Drosophila melanogaster: one gene and its partner. The protein of the gene in region 1 purifies or fractionates together with the protein of each later gene. This does not show direct contact. Each region holds a gene or a part of one and is shown in the gene's direction. Other genes may lie near its edges.

The links. The genes of interacting proteins can lie anywhere in the genome.
Region 2: the proteins of CG5597 (region 1) and nrm purify together in Drosophila melanogaster (affinity purification with western blotting; one large-scale study listed by BioGRID). This does not show direct contact.

The regions. Positions count from the first base shown.
Region 1 is NT_033778.4:23,884,367-23,889,838, forward strand, and holds CG5597 (uncharacterized protein), read left to right. Parts: upstream 1-2,606; 5' UTR 2,607-2,711; coding exon 2,712-2,760; intron 2,761-3,507; coding exon 3,508-3,698; intron 3,699-3,758; coding exon 3,759-4,036; intron 4,037-4,114; coding exon 4,115-4,379; 3' UTR 4,380-4,411; downstream 4,412-5,472. Other genes in the region: DCP1 (decapping protein 1), read right to left, coding at 4,708-5,472.
Region 2 is NT_037436.4:22,996,746-23,002,078, forward strand, and holds the start of nrm (neuromusculin), read left to right. Parts: upstream 1-1,626; 5' UTR 1,627-2,021; intron 2,022-5,307; 5' UTR 5,308-5,333.

The DNA.
Region 1 (5,472 bases):
AATGAGTCATTCGGCCATAAAACACATAGTTATAGTAGCTCCGCGGCCGCACACACTTTTAACTGCCCTTGAATAAATAAGCTTCGATTACGATTGTATCAACTACAGGACATCCACGTTGGACGAACAAGGATGCTGCACTTGTCTCGGGAGAGCGGGACGGAAAATTTCATTCGTTTCCGCGTTTGGAGGCGGTCCTAACGAGCTCCACTCGACATAGGGGTGGAAATCTGACTTTCCGGCGCGTGTCGTGCACTGCGCGAAAATTCACCGCATTTCCCCAATTGACTTGTCACAGCATGTCTAAAGAATTGGTTTTGGTTTTAATTTCATTGATTGCATCGCTGTCTGTTGGCTCTGATCTAATCTTCACTCAGAAATCTTCTTTTCAATGAATATTTCTTCAAAATCTGAATATTTTCCAAGCTCCATCTTTAAGCGAACTTTTCTTTGAGTGCACCAATTTTCACAGGCCTCAAAAAGCAACACTCAGAAGATTAAATTGGCTTATCGGGCAACCATGACGCTGGGATGTCCTGTCTGAGCGATTAAAGGAAATGCTTCTCTGGGATAATATAAAAAGTAAGAAAAATGAAAATCCTCTTTACGTTGCAATAACTCTTAAGGAACAGCCAAAGTAACATAAATTATAAAATATATTTAAACTTCATATATGAAATGGAAAGGGTATCGGACAGTCCGTCATCACGAGTACAGCACTTCGCCAACTTGATAAAACAAATGGTGTTGTACCGCACACAATGGATAAGAGACACCTTACTATCTTTTCTTGTTTATAACATTGGGCTGATTGAAACATTGTTTAAAGTCACTGGCAGGATACAACCCCTGTTTTCGGAAACAATTATTTGCTCTGCGGATTATTTCGATTAGTTAATTCCTGCTAATCAGAGTCCTGCCTAATTTTTATTTACTCTGCGCTGAAGTCCTTTTTTTTTTGGACACCCTAATGCTGGATTGCTAATAGGATAGGCTGGTTGTTCCATGTGCTGAAGCCATTTAGTTAAATTTTCAAAGAAAAACAGTTCCAAATTCAATGTATCTATCTTCGGAAACAATTTCATTGGGATCAGTTTAGTCAAACATACGAGGTAAAAGTTTAGAATGTGCCTCTTTTTCCAGTTGAAAAATGGTCTTAGTTGCCTTTGTGGATTTTACACATTTGCATGGTAGAGTGAGCCTTTTCTTTTCTTAATCAACGAATTGGAACGACTAAGTCTCTAGGAAAACAAAGCCACCTAATAGATGCACATCATGCTCAAACTAACACTCGTGCAAAAAGAAACTCTACTTTGTAGTAATCATTACTTAAATCGCAAGTCTATGTAAATCGGAGAATTGTTATGGCAATCATAATAATACAACATTACGACATTCCGAAAGTTTTGGAATAAGTTACTGTGTTACATTTTAGGTTAAAATATATCCAATATATGTGTAAAATTATAACCTTTCCAATTGTAATTGTATCAAACGCAAAGATATGAACTCATTTTACATTTAATAAATAGTATAGTAACCAGATGTTGGAGGTGATCGACCTGAACGAAACCCACCTGCATTGTTTGCTTAACCCGATCTCAAACCCACCCCGAAAATCCTGTAAAAACAGCAACATATTATTTAGTTATAGAGCATCTAAATGGGAAGCTAGTTTAAGTAGGTTTCAACCTAGTTGTGGGTGCAAATGAGCCTGGAACTACATGCATCGAACAAGTATCAGGTTCTATTGAGTCATTCTGAAAACAACTAACGTTAGTTTGGAAAACATAAAGTAAAGAAAAAGGGTTTATCATGCATAGGTGTGTGTTGCACTTACACACTAACTTGGTATAGTGAAGGCTTTTTCTTTTGCTAATCACCGAGTTGGAACGACTAACTAAGTCTTTACAAAAACTCAAGCATATGGATATACTTAAACCTATGAGTAACTGAACGGCTAATACCCTAAGATTTATTCAATTGTAAACAAATTCGAGAAATTCGACTTAAAAATGCCTTCTATCGGAATTTCAACAGAATTACAGGAATGTTAATGATCCCTATTGCCATGGAGACAGCATATTATTAACGCCAATCGTTACAACAGCCCTTAACTTCGGTCGAGAAGAAGAAAAGGTCCTTAAGGACTACGCTCGACACCCCCTGTCCTTTAACGGTCTTGCATGTTACCCTCGACTATCCCTAGTTGTAGGAGTGCGCCTCAGCTGGGCGGCCAACTGGTTTTCAAATAGTCAACGGCAGCTAGGAGCAGCGGAGAGTATCGAAGCGGAAAGGTTGTGTCCAACCCCCACACATGCAGGGCGACTTGGTTGGTGGTGGTGCCTGGCCAGCTGCGGAGCGATCTCCCCACATGTCCATGCAAAGATCGTGCTTGTGCTCCGAGAGTCGCGCACAAGTCAAGTGGCACGGGCTATGCGAGGAGGAGGAGGGTTAGGGTAGGAGGATCGTGTGCCGGAGAGGAAGTGCCGGCATTATCTCGGCTAAATTCGAATTCGTTTGGTTACGCTGCGTGGTCTTGGCCAAGAGCTCTCGTTCCTCATTTCTCGGTTTTCAGTTTTCGGTTCTCTGGCGGCCAAGAGCATTTAGTTGCCTTAGTTGTACCATGCCGAGCGGACCGCTGAGTTAGGATCGGTTGAGAAGTCTGGCATACGAGTGGAAGTGGAAGTGTAGATAGGATAGTGACCGTTATGGATACCCTGCTGATCGCCATTCTGGCCATCGGACTGCTCCACAGAGGTACAGCCAGATCCTGTGGCGATCCAGCCAGCAACCGATATGGGAAACGCGATTTTTAAATTAAGAAATGAAATCATTCGGAAGGCGCATATAAACGAATTTCGAATGCGCAAACCTTGAGAAAAATAATGACAAATCGGATATCTATAAATACGAACGTATATCCACATTCGGTTCTGAGTTAACATGTGCTAAAACGGAATATAAACAATATATAAACAATATATAAACAATATGTGCAGATTCGATTATCCTTTAATTTGTGGATTTGAACGGGCTGAAGGATTTTACGTGCAATTATTCGTGTTCGAAACTATATGTTTTTCAATGTGGAAAAAGCGCCAGTGGTTTTGAAGTCGGAGCAATAGATGCTAAGTGGAAAGCAAAAGATTCCAGCGAAAGGAACCTAATAAAATTGAACAGAGTTTTCAGAATTTTGGCACACATGATGACAAACTGCCGAATGAAAAATGTTCAATTTTCTAGCTTTTGTTTGTTATTAGTGTCTATTTTTAAAACGAAACAGGCATCCGCTCATCGCGTTTTCGCTTCTCGTAAATATACGCTTTCGCCAAATTATATAGATTTTTGTGTACAATGTGTTTTGGATTTGCCTGTGCTGCATATGTACATATATTCCAAATAATACCGCGCGTGTTCTGTAATTTCGAGACCTCGTCGTGCTAAAAGCTTTTCGTTTCGTTTCTGAATTCTGCGTTCTAATCAGTAATATTCGCTCTCCCCCAGATGCGCTATGCTATCCCACGAGGGATGAGTCCGAGGACAAGATTATAGTCCTTCAGAACGAGGAGATGGAGCCCACGATCCTGGACTGCGACTACGAGGTGGAGGAGAGCCCGAAGTTCATCACCGTCAAATGGTACAGAGACGACAAGTCCATATACCAGTGGATCTTCGGAACACCTCCATATGCCATCGTGAGTGAACCAAACGGTGTGGTGCGCTTAAGATACTAACCGCTTTCCCCTCCTTGATAGCCCGAGTTCAGGAACGAGATTGACAGCACCTATGAGAGCTCCACGGAGCCGAGCAAGCAGTACAGCTCGCTGGCTTTGATCAACCCCACGATCGCCACCACCGGCGACTACAAGTGCGTGGTGCAGACCTCGCTGAACACCTTCTCCAGCCACCAGAGGGTTCAGGTCATAGACCTGAGGAACTACACCCTGGAGCTGTCCCACAAGACGATCCACAATGAGACGCAGCTGAACTGCACCGTGACGAACGTGTATCCCAGGCCCACCATCACGATAATGTAAGGACGAGCGCCTGCCTTGTCGTAAGACAGCCTTGTAGTAAACAACGTCCCAACTCAACTCCGCTCCTATTACAGATCCAACGACATGGACGTGGTGAAGCGGGAGCCCATGGTGTACGAGAACGAGGAGGGATACTTCGATGGCAGCGCCGTGGTGGCGGCCTACGACACCGACGACGATCCCGATGCCTACCAGTGCGTGGTGTCCTTCGAGGGATACGGCAAGAACCTGACCACGGTGGCCACGTCCGCGGCGGCGGGCAGGAGCCACGTCGACTTCAGCCTGTGGCTGTTTTGTTTTCTGTACTACCTGCTCTGCAAGCTGAAGGTATTGGCCTAAATAAAAGCGTTGTTATTTATTGTTACTAAATTAATGTTTATTGAATTCTGTTTGCCATTCAACTACCTTTTCTACGCCCCTTCGGCCTAGTTAACCATTTTGTAAATAAATACGAATACTTCACAAAACCAACTACGTTAGTTAACTCTTAAGGTTGCTCTGGAAATGGATGCCGTCCTTCTCCGGCGGGGCTTCTAGATTTTAAATCTACGACTGCCCTTGTCGGCTTACAGCTATTACATTTTGTAAATTAACTCGGCTTGAACTCGAACTCCATGCGAACAAATGAAAATATGGGCTGCAATTCGGAAATGTTGAATATTTCTGTTTATTGATATGTGGAGCTGGAGTCCAGCAGTAGATTGGAACAGCCGTTCAGGTAGGCCTTGTGCAGCTTGTTGGCAAACTCCTTATCGTTCTGGATAAGGTACGTGAAGGCCTGGACGAACTGCGTCGAGTTCAGCAGTGGCTGCTGTGGCTGCTGTGGCTGCTGTGGCTCCGGATTGCCGTTGTTGGGCGCGTCGAACATGGTGGGCGGCATGAGGGCCGGCCCGGGCTTGTCGCCAGCCAGCAGTCTCCGCAAGCACTTGCCGGCATCGTCGTTGGCCATCAGCGCCGACGAGGACGGGGCGACTGTCGGAGATTGAGCCGTAGCGTAGCTTTTACCGATCTTCAGGTCGCTCAGGAGCTGAATGTTAAGCTGCTGCATCTTCTGGAAGGGCGACAGCCGGCTCTCGTGATTGTCCCTGCCTGCCGGGGGCAACAGATCCTCGCCAGGCGTGGCTGCCCGCTGCTGTTTCTCCAGCTGGTCCACGGAGAGCGGCTGGACGCGGTGGAACAGTGACTCTGCCGTGGCCTGCTTGGCCGATTCGAAGAACTTCAACACATTGCCGGCCGTTACGTTCTCCGCCGAAGGCGTCTTCGGCTGCCCGCCGCTCACCTGGGCATTGTAGTCCTTCTGGGCCTTGGTCAGCATGTTGAATATGCTGGCCGGCTGGCTGCTGTCCTGCTTTGGCTGCTGGGGCGCGGAGACGTGACGCTGGGCCTGGCCATTCGTTCCCTGATCCTTGGACTTGAGCAGCCCGTTCACCAA
Region 2 (5,333 bases), on another chromosome or scaffold:
CCTAAAAACTATTTTTTATTTCTTGGCGTTGTCCTTAGTCAACTGACGGGACATTAGTTCGACTCATAAATAAAACAACAATTTTACTATATGTATGTAAAAGTTTAGACTGTCGTACCAAGGCATAAATTAAAAACAGGAAAGGTAGCTGGTCACCAGTATTTATTATTAAAAAAAACACGTACACATGCATGTGTACTAATTGTACTTAATGATCAAACCCAACGAAACAAAAATTTCTTTTCTTGTACTCTCAATTAATTTGTTCGAGTCTTCTTATCGTAATAAAGCAGAATATAAATGTTGTACAAATCGTTATCCAAAACTCAACCAAAAAGATGCTTTAATACTTTAAAATTTACTTATTTGTAGCAGCTTTCCGCATAGTTTAAAAAAAAAGTGTTAAACTCTGGTTACTTATGTTAAGCTACTTTGCATATCTTCTCTGCATTATCTTCTCTTCTCCAAAAGGTTGATTTAAAACTCAAATTCATTTGCGTAAATGAAAAAAAATGAAATGAAAAGACGGGCATGGTTCGATGGTTGAACCGACCAAGAATATATATTCTTTGTTTGCTTGCAAATGTCTCATTAAATATGTAGACATATTTTAAAGACTTTTATAGTGCACCACAATTACGGAAATCATAGCTATAATCAAATTTAGTAAATTAAATACAAAAAAAGAAATGTTTCATTATTGTTATTCATAAAAAGGTTTATGCGCATGTTTTTTGGTTGGACTCATATTAGGCGTGGTCAAAGCTTGAAACAAAATTGCACTCTAAATTAGATTTTTTATTATAGGCTTGTTAAATTCAGCCTGGATAGGCTGAATTGTTCAAAAGTGTGGGAGTGATCGTTTTGCCATGCCCACTCTAACCGCCCAAAACTGCCACGCCCAAATTTTGTAAAATTTTTCGAAATTTTTACATAATCTTGTTAGTCTTGTAAGTTTCCATCGGTTTGCCAAAAAACTAACTTTAGCCACACCCACTCTAACGCCCCAAAGCTACCATTTTTTTCTCATTTTATTTCCCAATATCGATATCCCAGAAAAATGATGAAATTTCTGCTTTGCATTCTATCTATCTGAGTAACGGGTACCTGAAAGTCGGGGAACTCGATTATAGCATTCTCTCTTATTTTTGTTTAAAATTTGCGTGTCCCTTGTTCATTGAGAAAGATGTACATATGTACATACTTGTGTCCTCTTCAATTTGCAGTAATTTTCTATGCTCATCCTTCAACAGTAATTGAAAAGCTTTATCTCAGCGATCTTCTATAAAAACATACGAACTCCAATAGAAAATGCTTTTTAGTCTCACTCACCTCACGCAATTCACATAGTAATCTTAACTTAATACATACATATATATTACTGTACAGTCGTGGGAATTGGCAACTTCATAATTAGCGTCGAATTCACAGCCGTGAAGACGTCTGTCAAAACCGGCTAGCATGCGGCTGACGCATTTGTCCCAAACACTTGTTTAAAACACCAGCAGCTGCAAGGAAGCCGACGCCAATTTAGGGGTTGTTTCCCTACGTCGTAGTCAGTTGGTTCTCTTAGCCATTTGTCTCTTTGCCGTTGGCTGACGACTTGCCGCCTTCAAGTTTGTTTCAGTTTCAATTTGACCGTCGAATGCAGAGAACGTCGGTACACCGCTCTTGCTATTGCTATCGGCCAGCTAAAACAAAAACGACCTGAAGCCATAAAAACGCGTGTGAATGAGAGGCCAACGAAATATCCATAGCATAAGTGAACAGTGAGCCAGTGAGCGCTTTAAATAGAAAACGCGAAATAGTCAACTCGATGGAACGCAAGTGTAGGAAATAAATCGCCGTCTAGATTATTATAGCAAAATTGCCAAAATAACCACTTGTGAGCCAAAGTGACACAATGTGAAGAGCAAACGAAAATATAAAAATAAATTAAAAAACAAATAAATAAATGCAATAGGGTTAACTTAAACATCACAGGGGAAGGATTATCAAAGGCCCTGATCCAAAATAAAACGGTATAACCTAAATATCATAATCATGCATACCATAATACAAACTACTAGGTTATGTGCTTGCAACAAGTAGTAAGCGCCCAAAAAAAATGTAATAATTTGTCCGAGAAATAATATTGGAAAGCACTTTTAAATGAGCAAGCGCTCAAATATTGGTTGCAAAAATATATAAAATCTTTTATACCTATATGTATATTTATATATAAGAGTGGATATACGCGAACTTTTGTGCACACATATAGAAATTTTCGTACATTGAGTGTACGCGCACAAATACATACATATTTACACATGTGTGTGTGCATACATACATCTATACAGCAGTGCCGGCAGAAAAGAGTCGGGCTAAAAGAAATTATATCACTGCCCGAATCCGTTTTTAGAAATAGTTTGCAATGAATTTTCGTTGCTTTATATTGTCGATGTATAAATGCACATATATCTTTACGTATATATTAAACAACATACATATGTACATATGGAAGAAGCCAGCTAATATAAAAGCGCACACATGGCGTTTAAGTAAAAGAGACTAAAACTATATTTTTAAAACTCATGGGCTAATAAGGTTAGCAGTGTTTCTTAAACCTTAACAAGGACATTGATTTTTTACTTATTATCAAGCCGAGCAACGATTTTAATACTTTGAAGCCTATTAGATTAAAATTTAATATTTAAACGAAACAATTATTTAAAAACAAAATTTAAAACAATCGGTTACCTAACAGAATACAAATTTTTTAAGGATAGGCTTAATGTGTCAATAAATTCTTACTGTTATCCGAATGAACAGAGGGAAATTCAATACAAACTTTTGGTGAAATACGAAAGTACGTTGTGCTTTTAGGACGGCCTATTTACCAAAACATATGACTTGCCATTGGTTAAAGTCACATTCTTCCCTTAAATGGCTTATCTATCACTTCAATACTACATTTGTTAAACCGGTTAATCGTAGAGTAAAAGATTCTACTAGATTCGTTGAGATGCATGTAACAAGCAGATGGAAGTCTTTTCGACCCTCCAAATGATATATATTCTTGATCAGTATCACTAACCAAATGGACCTAGTTAAGTCAGTACCTAGAAGATAAGAACTGATATAAAGCATGCAGATTCTAGAGACGGATGAAATTGTTTGTTTGGGAGGCTTGCGACGCTGCGCAAGTTTCCGTCTAATTGTTACCACGCCCACTCTAACGACCAAAGCCGACCAAAACTGTAACGCCCAAACTTTTGATAATGTTTTAATATTTTTCCATTTTTGTATACGTTTTATAAATTTCCAACGATATGCCAACAAAATTTTGCCAGGCCCACTCTAACGCCTACAAACCACCCAAAACTGCCACGCCCACACTTTTGAACAATTTTTATTTCATTATTTTTTTTCACATTTTCTATCACTATTGCAAACAAACTTTAAATTTTTCGTTCAAGCTGCGAGTTGAATTACGGGTATCTGTTAGTTGGGTCTATTGTCTTTGTCAAATTTGATCGATATTGCACATATCCTGTTCCACCCATAATAATGGCGTTCTCTTTTTGAATTATTCGTATAGCAGCTAAATGAGATAGTGTTTCGATCCGACCCTTTTCGATTTATATACTATCTGCCAAAGAAAAAAAGGTTTATGGATATCGATACTATTTATCATAGCAAATATACGTGACCAAAATGTTGTGGCTAATCAATAGCAAGACAAAAAGAAAACACAACAACAACTTTTTAAAATCTTTCGACGTGGCAGTGGTGGGCGTTAGAGCTTTCTAGCTTTTATAATTCCTGAAATCTCGACGTTCATACGGACGGACAGGCAGGTGGACGCACAGACGGATGGACATTGTCAGAACCACTCGGCTAATGGACCTTGATTTAGAATAATTGTACTAAATATAAGCCGAAATTTTTCCGTTTGCCTGTTATATACATATACTTTTCAACCTCCTCTAGGGTAGTGTATAGCTGAAACGCCATAATCAAGTCTCTCGACTATTAGATGCCTTCCCTTAGCAAAAGAGAATGCGAAATAGATTGATATATTCTAGTTGGAAAGGAACTGTCCTAGACTGGACAGGTGCACAGCAGCGGTTGCATTTATTGCTTTCGACTTTAAATACAAACTTCTGAAGTAAGGGGTTATTCGGACAATTTGAGTATATGATGATTTAAACAGCTCAAAGAAAGCTGGGTTCGGAAAAATCGAATTTTTGAAATTTAAAAGCTGGAATCGTTTGCCCATGTTTGCCCACCAATTAGTTTTTTTTGCCCACGTCCAGTTTTTGAGATATGAATTTTCGAAAAAACTGTTCTTTGTAAGAAACTTTGCTTTTGGCGCCACAACTTATAGTTATTACATACATATACAACTTTAGTTTTAATAGGTGAAAAATCGAAAAAACCATTATTAAGGGGTGGGCAATCAAAATTATTTATTTTTAAGGGTGGGTAAACGAAAAAAAAACAAATTTTAAAGGGTGGGTAAACGAAATAATTTATTTTTAAAGGGTGGGTAAACGTTAAAAACTGATTTTAAAGGATGGGCAATCGAAATTATTTAGTCTTAAGAGTGGGCAAACGTTAAAAACAAATTTTAAATGGTGGGCAAGCGAAATAATTTATTTTTAAAGTGTGGACAAACGTTTTTATTGCAAATTTTTATTTTAAAGAGGTGGGCTAACGAAATTGGTTATATTTTAAGTGTTGGCAATCGAAAAAAATTTAAAAATTAAAAAAAAATTTTTGAAAAAAGTGAAATTTTTGATTTTCGAATATTTTTGCACTTTTGGAAAATTCATATTTCAAAAACTGGACGTGGGCAAAAAATACTAATTGGTGGGCAAACATGGGCAGAAAATGGACAAACGATTCCAGCTTTTAAATTTCAAAAATTCGATTTTTCCGAACCCAGCTTCTTTGAGCTGATTTAAACATGTTTACTTCCATGTCTCTATAGGGGTTTGTATTTTGTGGCGTCACATACAATAGATCGAATAATTATCAAAAGTATGAGAGTTGCAATCCTCTCAGTAAATCTTGCGCTTTGTAATTGTCACTAAAATCTGTTCGCTTAGTCTAAACTTTATAGTTCATATAAAGTTCCCGATATCTCGAAGTTCCTACGGACACACAATAACATTTATGCTATCTTGTTTACTTACTACAATATTTATGTATCTATCTAACCAGTCGTGGTACTCTACTATATCGATATTTTTTTTCTTATATAAGCAAATGTAACGTACCAAAAACTACTACTAACACTATTTCTTCTTCCTTTTTTTTCAGAATTAAAAAAAAAACGATTGTTTATT